3 linked regions of the Rattus norvegicus genome follow. The protein of the gene in region 1 purifies or fractionates together with the protein of each later gene. This does not show direct contact. Links are inferred from orthologs where the notes say so. Each region holds a gene or a part of one and is shown in the gene's direction. Other genes may lie near its edges. The genes, in order: Aak1, Ap2b1 and Reps1.

What was found.
Region 2: the proteins of Aak1 (region 1) and Ap2b1 purify together in Homo sapiens (affinity purification with mass spectrometry; 4 studies listed by BioGRID and IntAct, with this or other methods). This does not show direct contact. The link is inferred for Rattus norvegicus from reciprocal best matches to the Homo sapiens genes AAK1 and AP2B1.
Region 3: the proteins of Aak1 (region 1) and Reps1 purify together in Homo sapiens (affinity purification with mass spectrometry; 3 studies listed by BioGRID and IntAct, counting the BioPlex papers as one, with this or other methods). This does not show direct contact. The link is inferred for Rattus norvegicus from reciprocal best matches to the Homo sapiens genes AAK1 and REPS1.

What each region holds. Positions count from the first base shown.
Region 1 is NC_086022.1:120,987,462-120,991,110, forward strand, and holds part of Aak1 (AP2-associated protein kinase 1), read left to right. Parts: intron 1-809; coding exon 810-911; intron 912-1,987; coding exon 1,988-2,089; intron 2,090-3,359; coding exon 3,360-3,470; intron 3,471-3,649.
Region 2 is NC_086028.1:68,599,341-68,603,660, forward strand, and holds the start of Ap2b1 (AP-2 complex subunit beta), read left to right. Parts: upstream 1-1,382; 5' UTR 1,383-1,499; intron 1,500-1,551; exon of another isoform or gene 1,552-1,695; intron 1,696-1,893; exon of another isoform or gene 1,894-2,007; intron 2,008-4,217; exon of another isoform or gene 4,218-4,235; intron 4,236-4,320. UniProt on the Homo sapiens protein: Component of the adaptor protein complex 2 (AP-2). Adaptor protein complexes function in protein transport via transport vesicles in different membrane traffic pathways.
Region 3 is NC_086019.1:14,562,530-14,566,178, forward strand, and holds part of Reps1 (ralBP1-associated Eps domain-containing protein 1), read left to right. Parts: intron 1-420; coding exon 421-583; intron 584-843; coding exon 844-907; intron 908-1,950; coding exon 1,951-2,105; intron 2,106-3,649. UniProt on the Homo sapiens protein: May coordinate the cellular actions of activated EGF receptors and Ral-GTPases.

The sequences.
Region 1 (3,649 bases):
TTCTGGGTTCAGTCTTCAGCAACATATAATGCCTGTCGTCCCAGCACTAAGGAGGTGGAGGCAGGAGCATTAGAAGGTCAGTGTCATTATTGCCTACATGTATTTTTTAAAAGGGATCAGTGTTGGGAATCTAAAAAAGGCAAAACTAAATAGATAAAACCCAGGCCTATATTGCTAGTGCCTGTGATAAAAAGGAAGCATTTATTGTATGGGGTACAGGAGTTTGAAAATGTTGGAAACAGTCCGTATCATCGCTTTAATGGTGATTACTTGAACGTATAAGCTTGTCAACATTCACCATGTTCTACACATTTAAAATTGGTTATGGTTATCATGTAAATTATGCCTCAAATGAAAACAAGGGATAAACAGACCCAATGACCTCACCTTGAGTTCAAGTTTACCTGGGGAAGTAACTTTTTTACCTTCTCATTTTGGAAAGTCTTTTGAAGGATACACAATTTTGAAAATTACACTTATTGGTTAACATTTATTTTGTGTTGTATGTGTGTGAGTACATGTGTGGAAGTCAGAGAATCGCTTATAGGAATTTGTTCTCTTCTTGCACTGGTGAGGTCCCTGGAATTGAACTCAGTTTTTCATGCATGGTGGCAAACACCTTTACCCACTGAACCAAGCTTGCTGCCCCTTGAAAAGCATACTGTTAACAAGATCCTGATGGTCTTTGTTTTTATGGTGAATGTTTAAAGTGCGGGCCCCTAAGCCGTTGTCATGGAAAGCAGTAAACGTTGCGGTTGCTCTATAATCTCATTGCATTTCCCCTTTTCTTTACCTCTCTCCCAACCCAGAAAAACTAATCGAGGGACTCAAATCTCCTGACACTTCTCTTCTGCTCCCTGACCTCTTGCCTATGACAGATCCTTTTGGCAGCACTTCCGATGCTGTGATTGGTAAAACACGGTCTATTTCTTCAGTCATGCCTGCTATGGGGGTTGGGAGAAGCTCTGGCATGGGGATTGGGGGTGGAGGGCAGAGGTGACCAAGACCTCTGTAGCCTTTGTGCATAGTGGGAATACAGCAGTCCAGACTGTTAACTCCCTTCCTGCTACTCCAAAAGAAGTGACTTTTCCCGTTTTCCATGCACACAACCTGTATCTCTGGTCATCACTGATGTTCTGTGATTTCTCCAGTAAATTTCATGAGTAAGGAAGAATCTGTGGAAGAAAACCTTTGTGAAACAGTTGATTTCTAACTGGTCTTTGGAACTTCACCGATTTAATAGACTTGAGCTGATTCGTCTTTAGAAGGCCAAAGCTTGGAACACTACCCATACCAGGATGTCTGATAAACAGGGCAGTTGCCTGGCCTGCTTACTCAGTTACCTAAACCTGAACTCTTGAAGGACTTAGCCCTTAGACTTTAGTGCTAGCACTTAGGAATGCCATTACCTCACAGAAAGTTGTCTTCATCTCTGCATTGTGATATGCAGAGCCCTTCCCTCCTACATCATAGGGTCAAGTGGGGGAAATTTGAGAACTGTGCATTAGATTAGAGGATGTTTATTCCAGGTTTGGCTCAAGGAGTGGGGGGGGGGGATTGCTGAAACTAATGATGAATGAAGCTGTTTTGATTGTTGTTGGCTTTTTGAAGCCAACTGTATATAGCCAGGCTGGCCTCAAACTCATGGCAATCCTCCTGTCTCAGCCTCCATAGTTATTGGTACAGGTGTGAGTCACTATTGCCTGTCTTGAAGCCAGTCTTTTCTGACATGGAAGAACGTGTTGCTTGAAAGTAGCTTGTATCCCAAAGTTATTTGTAGGGGCCAGTGATCAGCGTACACTCCTGATGGTTAACCTTGTGCACGCATGCTCAGCCATCCAAATGCAGCAGGAATAGGTGCACAGGCTGTGCTTTGCATCTGGCCCGAGACTTGTGGAAGTGAGCCTTCCCAGGTTTTCCTGAGCAGCCTCTGACTTCTTCCTTCTCTCATCCCTTCCTCTCCACTGTTCATGCCCTGGTACAAAAGAAAAAGCTGATGCTGCTGTTGAGAGTCTCATACCTGGGCTGGAGCCACCTGTTGCCCAGCGCCTCCCATCTCACACGGAATCTGTGACTTCAAACCGCACAGGTCAGTCAGGGAGCTGCAGAGCTGGTCAGTGCAGGAGCCTCAGAGCAGGGCTTCCCACCTGTGGCAGATGAACCTCTGTTTATTTGCATTCTCGTTGGTTTTATAGTGGATGTTATGAATTATTCTTACAGTCTTGCTTCTGGATATAGAGTATATCCTTGTGCTTATGAACTGAATACTTTTTGGAGCCATGTTTTTCTTTTTTTCTTTCTTTCTTTTGTATGGAATAGAGTCTATTCGGGGCATGGGGAAGGGAGTTGAGAGGATAGGAGAGGGAGGGGCAGGGGGGGGGAGACGAAAGGACAGATTAAGAGCAAGAAAGCAAGAGAGCTGGAGCCATATTTTTCTTTAGAATGACTCCCTGATTACAGAATTTGCTATTCATTACCCTTTGCCCAGAGCTGAGGATATAGCTCAGTGACAGAGTGCTTGCAGAGCATGCACAGAGTCCTAGGTCTAGTCAATCCTCAGTACCAGAAAGGGGAAAAAAGACTGTCTCCACTGGGAGCAGGTTCCTCTGCCTTCTTAGCAGGAGTCTGCGCAGACAAATGGCTGCCTCGGCATGTCCTCAGCATTGGTTCTGTGGAGCTCAGCCCTTCCTGTTGACAATTCTTTCCCACATCAGAGCTTCATCCTCTAGAGTTGACTCTTCTTTAGCTTGCAGGAAACATTGAAATCATCCTTGGACCCAGTATTGCTTTGAGTCTTTCAGTCTTGTCTGAGTCCTCATGCTTTGATATAAGACTGTCTGCTGGTGCCCCTTATGTGATGGTAATCAAAGCTGGGCCTCTCCTGTTCCTCACTTGGATGTTTCTCCAGGAAACACTCCAATGTTTTATCTCTGGGTTTTCCCCAACTCTTTACTGAAAGAAAGTAGCAAGAGGCATTTCAAAGGGGAACCAGTGTTAGCACGTCAGTGTGATTCCTGAGTGGAAAAGTTAAGTGAGACTCTAGCCTCAAAGTCCTTTCTCCAAACAGTGTCTACCGAGAAGTGTGTTTGAATCACAGACTCGTTTATTGTTTAACGAACAGTTTCTAAGCTAAAAATCTATACGTATGTGTTACTGCCAAATGGAATCTAGGATACATACATGTTTTTGTGCTTAAAAGTCCAGAGAACTTAACATGTTTCTTTTGATTTTCTTTCTGTATCTTGGCTTGTATATATGGCCTGTAAATGCAATAATTTGAAAGTCAAGCTCTAACCTCACAATATTGTTGTGTGCTGTTTAATGCCATCGTTGCCTGGAATGCTGGTAACTGGACTCAGACTCTCTCACGGGGGAAGACTCTCTCCTTGACTGTTCTCTGCTTTCTAACCCTACTGCTGACCTTCTGGACGAGTTTGCCCCCATAGCACTCTCTGCTTCCACTCATAAAGGTAAAGTCTTTCTTTTTGGACCCACATGTATCCCTGAGCAGAAGAGTTGAACAGCTCCTGGGGACTTCCCTTATCAAAAGTCTTTGTTAATAAAGTGTTCAAACTGTCCATTTCTGTAGAAAAGATGGGTTTGTAGTCTTTTACGGTCCTCTCACAGTAGTTAATAAGCAACTGCAGAC
Region 2 (4,320 bases), on another chromosome or scaffold:
CAGCCCGTTTTGTTTTTCTTTTCTTTTCTTCTTTTTTTTTTCCCCCGGAGCTGAGGACCTAACCCTTGTGTTTGCTAGGCAAGTGCTCTACCACTGAGCTAAATCCCCAACCCTTTGTTTTGTTTTTCAAAGACAGGGTTTCTTTGTGTAGCCCTGACTCTCCAATTCATATTGTAGACCAGGCTATCCTTGAACTCACAAAGATTCACCTACCTCTGCCTCCTGAGTGCTGAGGTTAAAGGCTTATGCCACCACACCTGGTTACCTTGTTTTTTTTTTTTTGTTTTTGTTTTTTTTTAATATATAACAATTTATTTATTTTATGTATAGAAGTACACTGTAGCTGTCTTCAGACACCAGAAGAGGGCATCAGATCTCATTACAGATGGTTGTGAGCCACCATGTGGTTGCTGGGAATTGAACTGAAGACCTCTGCAAGAGCAACCAGTGCTTTTAACCACTGAGCCATTCTCTCCAGCCCTGCCGTGAGTTTTAAGTTTCAAATCTGGGGGCTGGAGAGATGGTTCAGTGGTTAAGATCACTGGCTGCTCTTTCAAAGGACCTGGGTTTAGTTATCAGCTCCCACATGGCAGCTCACAGCTGTCTGAGATTCCAGTTCCAGGGGACCGAACACTCTCACATACATACACGCAGGCAAAACACCAATGCACATTAAAGATGTTCAATAGTAGAGTGAGGGAAGCCTGGGTAGGAGAACCACTAAGCCTTACTGTCAAGGTATATATATAGATAGAGAAGTTCAAAGTGCTCTAGAGGCAGAAGCAAGAGGGGCTTAGTTTCAGGCTTGCTTGAGATACACAGCCCAATGCTGGTTTTTCTTTTTAAACACCAGTAGTACCAGTTTAGTTTCCTAAAGAAACCTGTATCCACTAAGTGTTTTGGGTACCTTATACCACGCAAGCCTACGGGCGAGGCAGGAAGGGGGCGCTAATAAGTTTCTCCAGTCTTGTACAACGTAGGGATTCAAACTCAGATCTGAATACTTCTTAGCATCTTTGAGTCGCTAACTCCTAGTTCAGCTGCCCACCTGTACTTCTGGTTTCTATCACCTCTATGGGCTTCTGAACCTTACATGCAAATTAGCCGAGGTTTGTGTTTAAGCATATAGGATATCTCACACAGGTTTAACAAAATTCTTGTTCATGGAAATAAATCAAGAAAATATCTACGTATTGAAGATATCCTTTGGAAAAGCCACTGCGGGTTTCCTTAGTCTGCCCTAACCCTGAGAAAGGTAAACCTTTCCGTTGCTGAGGCGACAGACACAACTTGGCTGTTTGGTTCTCCCGCGCACCCGGATGACGTCAGGCGGCGAGATTCTCTTACGCCAAAACTTCCGGCCCACCATCTTTGTCCCTGGCAAATTGGGTTTTGCGCAGTGTCTTAGATCTAGAGAGAATCGTGACGGGCAGGAAACCATTACACCACCTTCCCGGCTGTGCTCTCTGACTGCCGCCGCCACCCCGCCCTTGCCTCCGGTGAGTTCAAGGCGGCTGGCTTTGGGGTGTGTCCCTGACTGGGGGTAGTTGTGAAGGAAGGGAACCCCAAGCCGGGTCGTAGGCGCAGGAGGAAAGGAGAAACGGGGAGCGTGACGGTTGAGGATGGAGGGAGTCCTCGGGTGTGACCGTTGTGAGGGAAAAGCTTGGAGAAAGTACCTCTTTCGTAGTGACCGTGGTGGGTTGGGGCTGAGCTCCGGTGTAGCAGCGATAGTTGGGGGCTTCAAAACGAAGCAAGGTTCGGAAGACCGGCTTGGGTAGGGCTCAGGCCAGGGGTGTGGCCGCTGGAGGCCCAGGGAGAACCACCTAGATTTCCCGTTTGGCATCTGTTCATTGAGAAAGAAGCTTGGACGTGTCCGTCCAGCACGCCTAGGGAGAAAGGATTCCCGCGACCGTTTGGTCACTGAAACCTCCGTTGTCACCCGTATTCGGAGGCATCTCTCCTTATCCTGGACAGTTTTCTTGACCGGGTCTTGACCTGCGGAGGGAAGTGGGTAAAGAGAATAGGGGACTAAATAATGTTCTTCGAGAAAGGAAGGAGAAACTTGCGTAATTGACCTCCTGTGTGAGAGGGGGAAGCCAGTGAAAGTAAATCTTAGCCTGGAATTGTTTTTCTTTTTTTAGCTCCCTTTATTCCCCGGGGTTATTAGGAGCAGTCTAGTTTGGGCAAGGCTGTAAAAGTCTACTAGAAGTGAAAAAACTGGAATTTCCTGCCATTTCTTTATTCTTTGAATTCTCAGGATGTATTAGTATTTTGAGCAGCCCTGTTTAGAGGAAGGCTCTTATTAAACTCAAGCAGTTTAGGTATGAAGCAGTATGAATCTGTCATGGATGCTTCGCTGAATTTTTTTTTTTTTTTATCATTTAGAAGGGAGATTATTTTTTTAAAATGGCCAAACTCTTTTGTGACCTTTGTGGTTTAAAAGACAAAGGACACACTATAAGCACAGCAAGGCAAGTTAACTGAAAAGAAGGTGGTCTCAGAGAGGAACAATCTAAATTATCACCTGCTTTCCTTGTGTAGTTCTACTGCTCAGCCTCAGGGTGCACTTACAAGGTATTAATAGAAAGCGGCAGGTGAAGTAGGTGCAGCCACCAGTAACACATTCCCGGGATGACTAAGTGAGGCGGGCGGACATGTAAAATGAGAGCAGAGTAGGTGTCTTGCAGGGGAGACTCCCTGAGAAATAAAGGGGAGTGTGCTCTGCAAAAAAGCTCCCTAAAGTTGAGTGGTAAATTAATACAAAGTAAACATTCTGAGAAAATAAGACTCAGAGAAGTCCCTCACATCCCCTTCCCCTGTAAAAGGTCATTGCTTTCCTCTTAAGGCACACATTTGAACCAAGTCAGACAGGGAGCATTCAGAGGACATCATCCCCATTTTTCTTCTTTCCTCCTAGGCTTAGGTTTCCCCAAATGTCTTGGAATTTCATAACAGTTGGGTGTAAAACTGTTGGGCTTCTTTCTTTACGCATAATACTATATTAATGAATTAACTTGTAGTTGTTTAAATAGAAGCCAGAGGTGGATTTAGCTTTTAAATGTTTTATTTCTGATAAGCTAATTAATCTGAAGCTGCTATTGTCCTGGTGTTATGAACATTTTAGCCAGAAATGGTCTTCATACCACTCATCCTTATAAGCAGAGGTTCCTGGAATGTCACTAATGCTTTGCAGTTTACTGAACTCTGGCTAGTTATTGACTTCATGTGCAAAGAAGGGCATAGTGGCCTTGCCAGTGCTAACGTTGGCTGCCATTTCCCAGACAACTACTTGAAATTAAGACCTTACTAATTTGTTTCTGACTGTATTCTACCCAGCCTGTTAATCTTGGTTTGCTGTTGAGTTGCTCTTTGGGGAAATTGGAGGAGGGGAAGGCTGGGAGGAGAGAAAGGACGTTGACAACCTATATTTGGCAGAAACTAGGTTATGTTAATCTAGATCTATACCCTTGTACTGTGAAAGGCAGTGAAGCAATACTGTGGGCTAGGACAAGTTCAAGGATTACTGCTTTGCCTGGTGGCTGCTCTGTCCTTTAACAATGTCCCTAGGCCACACCTTAAGTCAGTCAGTGACCTTTCAGGTTTCATGTTGTATAAGGTGGTGTAAGTTCAAATTCCATTGTGGCTTGCTTATTTCTAGGGATTTCCTGAAAAATTTTGCCCCAGTAGGATTTTGAATTTTGAAGCACTAGGCAAGTTGAAGTTGTATTTTTCCAGTTCTATTGTGGCTTTGTGTGTGTGTGTGGTTTCTACTGTGGGCACCAGTTTTACACCCTATACTGGAGAATTTGACTGAATATTTGGCAAGTGTTTGGGAGGGTCTTTATTAAAAAATAGTTATATGAATTGTGAGTTGAGAGTCACAGGGACATTAAGGTTCTGTCACTACCACTCTTTCTCATTTTAATTAAATACTTAAAATTCATACAAATATATAATGTGTTTAAGTCTAGGCTGCTCCCCCAGCCCCCCCAACCCTTTCTTTCTACAGTGCTTTTGTTTAGACTGTTTTCATTCTCCCTTATCCCCCACACCTCTGCCCCCGCCTTAAGGATAGACTGGATGCCTTGTTTTTCTGCCTGTATGATGGCAATTATTTCATCACAATTATTGACTATGGTGTCAGTTAAATGAGTGATATATTTACCTGCTTTTTTTTTTTCCTTTTTTTTTTTTCCTCCTCCCTTTTGATGATGGAGAGGCCTTATACCTGCTAGGTAAGCACTCTACCATTGAGCTATATCCCTAATCCAAAATGCCACTGAAGATTGAGCACAGGATTTTCTGTATATTAAGCAAGCC
Region 3 (3,649 bases), on another chromosome or scaffold:
CAGAGGTTTTACAAATGCAAGTTCACTCTTACTAAAAAAATCAGAGCTCTGCTCTGTGGCGTCTCTTCAAGTCTGTTGTCCACGGAATGTTCCACTGTGTTTTAGCTGATTTCCTTTCTGTTTCCCTAGTAAAGTGTTCGAAGATTTCTACATCTGGGAATATATTTGCTTGGCTTTCTTAGCACATTTTTCATAACTTTCTGTTGCTTACATAAATGCAGTCATTCTACATGTTTATATACTCACCTTGCAAAACCATATCCAATAACCTGATCATAACAATGTGTGGTTTGCTGACTTCTTACCTTTTAAATATCCTCAAAAAACACAAGTTTACTTTCAAGGAAAAGTAACCTAGCGATCTCGGTCCATGTAAGCGCATAGATGGATCCTGGACTGAGGAAAACTGTTTCATTGCAGGACCAGACAACAGTACGAACTGTAGCCTCAGCCACAACTGCCAATGAAATCCGTAGGCAATCCAGTAGTTACGATGATCCCTGGAAAATAACAGATGAACAAAGACAGTATTATGTAAATCAGTTTAAAACCATTCAGCCTGATCTGAACGGATTTATTCCAGGTGAGTCGTTGAGAACAGAAGGTCTTCTGGATGGGCTGGGACACAGTGTCAGTGTCATTATCGACAGATAGACATTGCTTTGTTGATCCTCCATTTTAGTTATTACTCACGTGACTTGTCTCAAAGGACTTTATAGTCACCGGGAAATAAAGCATGACTTTTTTAACATTATACATAATGTTATATTTCCCAGCCTAAGATGATGTTCTTGGATTTGTGTGTTTAGAATAGCACTAAACAAAACTGTTTTAATATTTCAGGGTCTGCAGCTAAAGAGTTTTTTACAAAATCGAAACTTCCTATTCTTGAACTTTCTCATATTTGGTAAGTGTAGTATATTATTAGTTGGTCCATGTTGGTTGTTTCAAAAGAATTTCTGGCACCCTAAAACTTTCAGAACCTTAAAACTAGGATTGGACTTGACCTCTGTGGGTGCTGGTGGAGAACCCAGTAGGGCCGAAGACTGAGCCTCTCTTCCTAGGCCAGTTAGGGAAATCGCTGTGAGCTGACACTGGAGCTCTGTTTCTCCTGCTGCTAGTGGACTGCAAGAAAAGGCTGTTACTTTGCCTGTGTCATTTCTCCTAGTTGTCATCAAGTTTATATCTAGCCAAAAAAAGTAAGCACAAGGCTTAGCTCTCACGTCATACGTAGACTAAGACTCTCGCAGTAGCCGCCACAGAGTTGTAATTAGTTCATGGAACACAGCTTATAACTGCAGGTTACTTTCAAAAGTGGACCGCCTCCTAAACACTGTTTCTACCTTGTACCATTACTCTTTTCTAAGGCCGGGCAGAGTGGTAGAGGCTTTGGAATCTCAGCTTTCGGGAGGTGGAGATGAGAGGATTGTGAGTTTAAGCTGTATAGTGAGACTGTCTCAAAAATAAAACACATATACACATGGATTCGGTATAGGGGACAAGGACAGCAGGACAGAGGCTGTATTTTCCTATTAAACTTTAGTCAATTTATTTTCTTAAAGTCTGAAAGTGTTGAACTTTGATAATAAAAACAGAATTTTAAATAAGTTCCATATGTTTATTTTATATACTTCAACTAAATAAGCTCTATTAATAAAAATGCATCAAATTAAAGATAATATTTTGATGACTTTAATTTTGGAGGCTAGTTTTCCAGTCAAAAATAATAAGATGTTGAAAGGATCATACCAGGAGGGCTCAGTTGTCTCTCACATTGATTCTTCGTTATAATTTTGACATATTTGCTTTGTTACACCTCTTTGCCCATGTGGGGTTTTTAAAATTAATGATTTTTAAAATTTTTTTCTTGTGTGAGAAATATTTTGTCTTCTTTTTTGATAAATAAGAGGCTCCAAAGCAAAATGTGGTGATGATGCATTTGTCTTCCAGGGAGCTCTCAGACTTCGACAAAGATGGCGCGTTGACACTGGATGAGTTCTGTGCTGCTTTTCATCTGGTAGTTGCTAGAAAAAATGGCTATGACCTACCAGAGAAACTCCCCGAAAGCCTGATGCCCAAGCTGATTGACTTGGAAGACTCAGCAGGTGAGGTTGGTGGCCACCAAGAGCTGACTATGAGCTTCAGTGAACATGGTACTTCATTCTGAGAAGGAAGTCAGTTTAGTAGCTTAAAGCGTTTTAGTAAGTGCACAGATTTGACCAGGCATAGAGATGAACGCCTTTTATCTACCACTTGGGAGGCTAAGGCAGACAGGTCTCTGACTGGTCTACAGAGCAAGTTCCAGACTGGACAGGACTTCAGGATAAACTCTGTTTCAATAATAGATAGATGATGGATGGATGGATGGATGGATGGATGGATGGATGGATGGATGGATGATAGGTAGGTAGATAGATAGATAAATAGATAGAGATAGATAGATGATTGATAGATAGATAAATAGATAATGGATGATAGATAGATAGATAGATAGATAGATAGATAGATAGATAATAGGTCGGTAGGTAGATAGATGATTGATAGATAAATAGATGATTGATAGATGGATGGATGGATGATAGGTAGACAGATAGATGATAGATAGATAAGATGATAGATGGACGATAGATGATAGATAAATGATAGAGAGAGAGAGAGAGAGAGAGAGAGAGAGAGAGAGAGAGAGAGAGAAAGGTGTGCAGACTTGCTGTGGCTAGTTGGGTAGACACTGAATTTGGGCCATTAGGTATCAGCTTTAATAGTGGTACATGGGACTGGGCATGGTGTATCCCCCTTGGAATGCCAGCACCTGGAAGGCAGAGACAGGACGATTTCTGAAAGTTCCCACCTAGGTTTATAGCATTGACCTTGTCCCAAGTTAAAATGAAAAGAGGAGACAGAAAGAAAAGCTTTCCTTATTACCCACAGGGCCTGCGTCAGACTCAGAGTGAGAATTCTCAGTGGTACTTAGTATTTTACTATCCTAAATGCATGCTGTATTGTCGAAAGTAGGTTATGGTGTCAGTCATAAATGTTTTCTACTTAATATGTCTTAGTATCTTGAGGGGAGTAATCTGTTTCATTATTAGACCTTTATAATGTTTTTTTCAATGACTACAAAATCTGGAAATTTGGAATTTGATTTTAGATAATACTATTTATGTATGATAATATGATCTATATTTACTGGTAGCTTTCTGTAAATGGAAAGAGTCTATAAGTGTTGAGTATACATATGTTTTTCTTAAATTCCAAGTGAATAAAAGGTACTGGCTGTTACGTTCCCAGTGAGCCTATGTGTACAGCTGCCCATCGTCTCAGTGCTCCTGTGCAAGCTCTCTTTCACATATGGTGACGAAGGTGATTCTTCAGGAGGGCAGTTATGGCTGGCTTTAGCTCCTAAGTACTGTACGTTTACTGTACGATCACATTAGGCATCTAAGAACTACGTAGTCTGTCTTTCTCATCCTCACCTAGACAATGGGATGTCACCCAGAAGCACTTGCAGTCACTTTCCTCCACAGTACTGTTTCCTTGGTCAGATTCCGACCCTGTCTTTGCTAATCGTTTCTCTTTCTGTGTGAAGAGTGCTGCGAGTGTTCTGATGGGTTACATTGAGTCTGCAAATTGCTTTTGGTAGAATGGTCAT